Linked DNA regions of Anolis sagrei. The protein of the gene in region 2 purifies or fractionates together with the protein of the main gene of each other region. This does not show direct contact. Links are inferred from orthologs where the notes say so. Each region holds a gene or a part of one and is shown on either strand. Other genes may lie near its edges.

Evidence for each region.
Region 1: the proteins of STRADB (region 2) and CAB39 purify together in Homo sapiens (affinity purification with mass spectrometry; 3 studies listed by BioGRID and IntAct, counting the BioPlex papers as one, with this or other methods). This does not show direct contact. The link is inferred for Anolis sagrei from reciprocal best matches to the Homo sapiens genes STRADB and CAB39.

Annotation. Positions count from the first base shown.
Region 1 is NC_090023.1:228,951,881-228,955,799, forward strand, and holds the start of CAB39 (calcium-binding protein 39), read right to left. Parts: upstream 2,808-3,919; 5' UTR 2,599-2,807; intron 1-2,598. UniProt on the Homo sapiens protein: Component of a complex that binds and activates STK11/LKB1. In the complex, required to stabilize the interaction between CAB39/MO25 (CAB39/MO25alpha or CAB39L/MO25beta) and STK11/LKB1.
Region 2 is NC_090021.1:164,586,790-164,590,708, reverse strand, and holds the start of STRADB (STE20-related kinase adapter protein beta), read right to left. Parts: upstream 2,798-3,919; 5' UTR 2,660-2,797; intron 331-2,659; 5' UTR 286-330; coding exon 274-285; intron 1-273. UniProt on the Homo sapiens protein: Pseudokinase which, in complex with CAB39/MO25 (CAB39/MO25alpha or CAB39L/MO25beta), binds to and activates STK11/LKB1.

The DNA.
Region 1 (3,919 bases), on a different chromosome or scaffold from region 2:
ACGGGGATCTACTAGAAGCCATGAGAATTTTACTACTAGTGCTTTGGAGTGTCCATTATTTTATCAGAATTTTATAATATGACAATCTAGAACATTCCTGTGTAGTATTAAAACAGTTGGATTCAAAAATGTATAAGCCACTTTGCATTAGTACTCTAGAAACGTATCAGTTTAAAACATCAGCAGCTGGTTTATAAACAATATAAACTTTCTCTTACATTATACGTTATCTTGGAATGAATGCTTCAACAAGCAAATCCTGCATAACATTTTGCATGTGAATTTATTTAGGAATACATTTTCATTAACTGTGTAGGCTTCAGATTTAGAAAACCTAACTAAGGCTTAAAATGAACAACATATATTCTTAATACAGCAGTATTATTCTTCGAGCAATTTCACAAGAATTAAAGAAGTATCTTGTATTGATCATCACATACTATTTTTGCAGAGCACTCAAGTGTCATTTCCCCCTTAAGTTTACAGTGGGATGCTACGAAATAAAACAGGCCAATTAAATAGAAAGGAAACCAACACTGTCCAAAAGATCTTGGGAATTACTTTCACTCTTATGATTTCCTATGATGATGCAATGATTTGGGGGGGGGGGGATGACTGAAAAAGTGTACAAGCCTAAGAATTCATAATACATATGGAAATATCCTAGCAGTTCAGAAGAGTGCAGTGAAATTAACTCAAACTGGGCCTCTTCCTGGACAATGCAGTATTGCAAAAGCAAAGCAAATAGGCTTTCATTTTTCTTTGGTGTTGGCTGTATAAAAGGCCATGTTGAAAAAAAACAGAGGGAAAGAAAGAAAGAAAGAAAGAAAGAAAGAAAGAAAGAAAAGGTTACTAATATTTCCGGTTTGGAGTAATCACCTCACCACCTCCCTTCCTCCTTCAATCCTGACATGTTTTGAGATGTGAGCTCCTTCAGCCAAGAAAGTTTATTTAAAAATGGAGGCACTCACAAAGACAACAACGCTGAGAAGGAGGCACTGGGTGTTCCACGCCACCAAAAGGGACGTCTACACTGTAGAAGATGTTTTGGCCTTCAACTCCCAGGAATCCTAACAGCTGGTAAACTGGCTGGGATTTCTGGGAGTAGTAGCCCAATACACCTAGAGACCCACAGGTCGAGAACTGCTGCTGTAGAAGGAAAACAGCCTGGCATTTTTAAATGCTACTTATAATAATTTATATTTATAATAATAATAACAACAACTTTATCGAAGGCTTTCATGGCTGGAATCACTGGGTTGTTGTAGGTTTTTTCATGCTGTATGGCCATGTTCTAGAGGCATTCTCTCCTGACGTTTTGCCTGCATCTTTGGCAAGCATCCTTAGAGATGGGAGTCCCCGGTGGCGCAGTGGATTAAACTCCTGTGCCGGCAGGACTGAAGACTGACAGGTTGCAGGTTTGAATCCAGGGAGAGGTGGATGAGCTCCCTCTATCAGCTCCAGCTCCTCATACGGGTACATGAGAGAAGCCTTCCACAAGGATGATAAAAACTTCAAATCATCCGGGCGTCCCCTGGGCAACGTCCTTGCAGACAGCCAATTTTCTCACACCAGAAGCAACTTGCAGTTTCTCAAGTTGCTCCTGACACAACAACAAAAAATATCCTCAGAGATTGTGAGGTCTACATAGATGTAGCGAAACGTCAGGAGAGAATGCCTCTAGAACATGGACATATAGCCCGAAAAAACCTACAACAACAACCCAATAACAACTTTATTTTTGTACCACACCTCCATCTCTCCAAAGGGATTCAGGGTGGCTTACATATGGCACAAAGTGCCTAAAACAACACATAAAACAAACACACAATACATTACAAGATAAACCAGTAGTATATAAAACAACAATTTGACGCCCAATAACCTATAGTGTCGACTGTCCTAAAAACATGGTCAACTGTAAACAAGAAGAAGAGAAAGAGATAATGCAAGTTGTAGCTAAGAAGCAAGGGCATAAGATGAAAGTGGAGTACGTTTTACTAATGGCTTCTTATGTTTTTTTATTTGTGTCTTTGATGGTTGACGATTTTGCGTTGTATTTTAACATGTTGGAAGCCACTTGGTGGGAGAAAAGTGGGAAATAAATGAAGATTTATTATGATTATGAATCCCCTCAGTTCCAGTTAGGATGTGGAGAAGGTTAAAGGAAGACCCACAGGCCTGGGCCAACTTGGGCCCTCCAGGCGTTTTGGACTTCAACTCCCACAATTCCTAACAGCCTACCGGCTGTTAGGAATTGTGGGAGTTGAAGTCCAAAACGCCTGGAGGGCCCAAGTTGGCCCAGGCCTGGTCTCTAGCGTTCATTTTCCAAACGGCGTTATCTGGCAGCGTCGGCGGCGAGACAAGGTTACCTAATGGAAGGGGAGAGGGAGGAGGGGTGACGACACCGAACGCGCGTCAAGTTCCCGTGAGGACACACCCTGTGCTTTCCCTCAGACAAGGGGCCTCCTCCGCCGCCGCCGCCGCTACTGTCCTCGAAAGGAGGAAGAGGCGCTCCCTTTCCTTCCGAGGCCAGACTAGGCCTCGACGAGCCCTCAGAGCGAACGCCACCCACAAGGCCCGAAGCCAGGACGGTACCTTCGCTGGTGGCGAGGAGACGTCCAAAGGCGCCCTCTCCCTTCTGCCTTCTCTTCCTCCTCCTCCTCGTCTCCTCGTCGTCGTCGTCGTCTGCGGGCCTTCTCGCGACGCCTCGGCCGCCCTCCTCCTCCTCCTCCTCCTCTTCTCCTGCCGGGCTGCTGGTGTTTGCTGCCTGCCTGCTTGCCTAGCCCCTCCCTCCCCCGCCCCGCGCGCCTCCGCTCTTCCCTTCCCTTCCCTTCCCGGCGGCGGATACCAGCGGATGAGACAGCGGACGACGAGAGGCGGCTAAGCAAGAGGGAGCCCGCCAGCGCATTCCGCGCGCTCTCTGCCGCCCCCTGCGGCCGGGAGGGAGAAGTGCCGCCAGCGTTTCCCACGCTGAACTGCATTCCATGGTCATTCGAGACCAGGCGTGGTGTTTCAGATCTGAAGGTGTTTGAGATCTAGGAGGGAGGTGCTAGGCCTGTAGCTGGAGGGGAGGGGGGGTGTTGGTGTGTTAGGGGTTCACCCCCCCCCCCAATTTTTCAGGTTAAAAAAAAATGGTTTACTCATGAATTTTAACTGGTTAACCCAATCCCCATGCTAAGTCTATTAGACACAAAAAATTAAGACTCCCTCCAGAACTGTCAGCACTATTATTATTAATATTATTATTAACTTTATTTGTACCCCGCTAGCATCTCCCGAAGGACTCGATGCGGCTTACAAAGGCCAAGGCCTCAAAACACAACACAACAATATAACACCAAAAGCAAAATTAGAAACAGTAAAGCAATATTGACGACATGCAATAAACAGTACATCAAGACACAATACAAACTGGGCCGGGCCAGAGTAATGGGTACAGGATTAAAAGTGCTGATGTGGCAGGTGGTATACGAGGATTATAGGGCAAGTGCAGTGTGTGGTGTGCAATAATCTTAGTTCTACTAAAAGTGCTTTGAGGACTTGTTATTGGAGATTCCTATTCTGGAAAGGCACATCGGAACAGCCAGGTCTTCAAGTTCTTTCTAAAGACTGCCAATGTAGGGGCCTGTCTAAGATCTTTTGGGAGGGTGTTCCAGAGTTGGGGGGGCCACCACAGACAAGGCCCTGTCTCGTGTCCCCACCAGCCACGCTTGTGACGCAGGCGGAATCACGAGCAGGGCCTCACCAGATGACCGAAGTGAACGTGTGGGTTCGTAGATGGAGATGCGGTCATGCAGATAGGATGGTCCCAAACCATTCAGGGCTTTGTAGGTAAGCACCTGCACCTTGAATTGGGCTCGGAAAATAAATGGCAGCCAGTGGAGCTCCTTGAACAGGAGGGTTGACCTCTCTCTGT
Region 2 (3,919 bases):
TAAAGCAGGTATCCTGCTTGAAAATCTAGTATGTGACTGTCTATCAAAGGTCAAAGATATGTTTTCCATCAGTTTTTATGGATGTTAACTGCAAATTTTTAATACTATTGATATTTAATTCTGTTTTAATGTTTGTATATTTGTAGATATTAAATTGTATTAAAAAGCTTTTAATGTAAGCCGCTTTGAATCTGTGGAGAGAAAAAGCAGGGAAAATAAGCATAAGCATAAACATAATAATAATAATAATAATAATAATAATAACATGCTTACCAAGCAAGACATGGAACTGCCTTAGTGAAGGAAAAACGTCAGGCAAACCCATTTACCCTGAAACAGAAAATTAGAACAGAATCACAATCAGTCTCAAATCTCAAACATCAGCTACTGTTTTCCTAAACCAGAAACCCACATATTGTTTCCTACATAGCCAGCCTTAAATACTGCCACTCAGGTTAGAATTATTTTTTCTTGATACATTGGATTCAAATATTACAAATTAAATAGAAGAATTAATAACATCACAACAGCGTTGCCATCGTCCCACTTAATTGGCCTATTGTTAGAAAAACAATAATAGGCCTATTGTGAGAAAACAAACACCACTGTATTCATGGCATCTCATTTCTCTATAATATTGTTCTGACAAATATAGCAATCAAACCAATGTGGAAATGTATCCAGTACATTACATACAGGTGTACAACTTTCTGACCAGGGCTAAGTTCAAACCAATTTTGCAAGTTTACCTAGTACACAATCTGTCACCCAATCCACCCTCAAGAATTTTTGCAACTCTTCTAAAGGAGTGACAAACTAGCATACTTTGTTGTCATTGCTTGGTAAAAATATACCTGCAAGTACTCAAAATTAAGAACAATCTGTGACCCCTTCCACACAGCTGAAGAAAATCCTACCTTTTCTGCTTAGAACTGGGATATATGGCAGTGTGGACTCAGATAACCCAATTCCAAGCAGATATTGTGGGACTTTCTGCCTTGATATTCTGGGTTATACGGCTGTGTGGAAGGGCCCTGGGTTACCTGAATCCACACAGCTATATATTCCAGTTTGAAGCAGAAAATGTGGGCTTTTATTCAGCTGTGTAGAATGAGTATTTATCCACTGCAATCCATTTTAAAATGCTGTGACTGCCACCTGCAGAATTCTGGAGTTTGTAGTTTAGGGTGGGTCCTTTAAACTGCTCATCCTGGGCCTCCCTTCTATACTGCCATATAAAATCAAGATGCTCTGCTTTATATGGCAGTGTGGACTCAGATAATCCAGTTTAAATATAATGTGTTTTGATAACCCCAGAAGATGCAAAGAGGAAGTCAGGATAGAGGTTTAGCCTTAGTGCCCTTCCATACAGCCATATAGCCTGGAATATCAAGGCAGAAAATTGGCTTTGAACTGGGTTATCTAAGCCCACACTGCCTTATAACCCAGCTTAAAGCAGAAAATGTGGGATTTGATTCAGCTGTGTGGAAGGGGCCTGTAAGTGTATTGTATTGTCCAAGGCTTTCATGGCCGGAATCACTGAGTTGCTGTCGGTTTTTTCGGGGCTATGTAGCCATGTTCTAGAGGCATTTTCTCCTGAAGTTTCGCCTGCATCTATGGCAAGCATCCTCAGAGGTAGTGAGGTCTACTGGAACTAGGAAAGTGAGTTTATATATCTGTGGAATGACCAGGGTGGAACAAACAACGCTTGTCTGCTGGAGCTAGGTGTGAATGTTTCAACTGACCACCTTGATTAGCATTTGATGGCCTGGCAGTGCCTGGGTCAATCTTTTGTTGAGAGGTGATTAGCTGTCCCAGATTGTTTCCTCTCTGGAGTTTCCCTGTATTTGGGTGTTGTTTTGCTGTTGTAATTTTAGAGTTTTTTTTAATACTGGTAGCCAGATTTTGTTCATTTTCATGGTTTCCTCCTTTCTGTTGAAATTGTCCACATGCTTGTGTATTTCAATGGCTTCTCTGTGTAGTCTGACATGGTGGTTGTGGGAGTGGTCCAGCATTTCTGTGTTCTCAGATAATATGCTGTGTCCAGGTTGGTCCATCAGGTGCTCTGCTATGGCTGACTTCTCTGGCTGAAGTAGTCTGCAGTGCCTTTCATATTCCTTGATTCGTGTTTGGGCAATGCTGCGTTTGGTGGTCCCTATGTAGACTTGTCAACACCTGCATGGCTAATTACAACAGTAAAACAACAGAGGGGAAACAAACAAGGATATCTAATCACCTCTCAACAAAAGATTGCCCCAGGCACTGCCAGGCCATCAAGGTGGTCAGTTGAAACATTCACACCTAGCTCCAGCAGACAAGCGTTGTTTGTTCCACCCTGGTCATTCCACAGATATATAAACCCTTTTTCTAGTTCCAACAGACCTCACTACCTCTGAGGATGCTTGCCATAGATGCAGGCGGAACGTCAGGAGAAAATGCCTCTAGATCATGGCCATATAGCCCAAAAAAACCTACAACAACCCTGTAAGTGTATTGTTTCTTATGAAAAGTACTCAGATTGGCTGTCCATTAGGTGCCATTATTTCCGACGGCGCTTGCGAGCAGTCACAACTTGGCACGACCGAATAACAACAGCGTCAATAAGACATTGCATTTGAATAGGCTGGATTTTCCCGCGCTCCTCCGAGAAGGCTCCTACCTCCCTCCGCCTGGGCCTGAGGCGCGCGACGGAAGCCAGTCCCATTGGGTTCTGCGGGACTCCCCGCGAGGACGGAGGAAGCGCGGTCAGCGGGCCAAAGGGAAAGGGGCGGGGCGCTTCCTCCTCCTCCAAACACGCCCCGCCCCCTCCAACGCGGAGGGATTGGTAGAGCGCGCGCTTAAGCTAAGGGGGAAACGCACGCACTCGCTGGGAGACTACGAGCCCCAGAGTGCACCGCGGCCAGACTGTGTCGGACGAGCGCGCCTTGCCCGCCTGTTGCGCATCGGGAGTTGTAGTTGGAGGGGAAACGCGGTCTCTTCACAGCCTGGCTCCTCCCGCCGCCATCTTGGGGCCGAGCGTGGTCCCGCCCTCTCTTCTCCTCCCTTCAGAGGGTGGCAGTCGCCGCCGTCAAAGGAAGCTCAGCCGTGTTGCCGGTGAGTGCCTTCCTCCTCACTCTCGCCTTGTTGCCCTTCCTTCCTTCCTTCCTTCCTTCCTTCCTTCCTTCCTTCCTTCCTTCCTTCCTTCCTTCCTTCCTCTCCTCCATTTCTTCCCGTCCTGTCAGTGCCTCCTGCATCCTCTCCTCAGGTGGAGCATCCCTTCCCTGAAAGACTGAGATTAGGAACATCATTTTATCTGTTTCCCCCCTCTCCTGATGGCTGGAGGCGGGGTACAGCAAACCCAAAAACAAATGAGCACAAAAATACAGTAACTTACATAGATAAACTCAGACACACAAACACACACACATATATAAAAGCTAGGTAGATGCTGGGAAAGCCGTGGATGTAGCGTTTCTGGATTTCAGTAAGGCCTTCCACAAGGTCCTCCATGACCTTCTGGAAAACAGACTAGTCCAATGTATTGTCAAGGTTTTCATGGCTGGAATCACTGGGTTGTTGTAGGTTTTTTCGGGCTATATGCTGTGTCCAAGTTGGTTCATCAGGTGGTCTGCTATGCCTGACTTCTCTGGTTGGAGTCGTCTGCAGTGCCTTTCATGTTCCTTGATTCGTGTTTGGGCAATGCTGCGTTTGGTGGTCCCTATGTAGACTTGTCCACAGATGCATGGTATACGGTAGACTCCTGCAGAGGTGAGAGGATCCCTCTTGTCCTTTGCTGAACGTAGCATTTGTTGGATTTTCTTGGTGGGTTTGTAGATTGTTTGTATGTTGTGTTTCCTCATCAGCTTCCCTATGCAGTCAGTGGTTCCGTTGATGTATGGCAGGAACACTTTTCCTCTACAGCAGTGTTTCTCAACCTGGG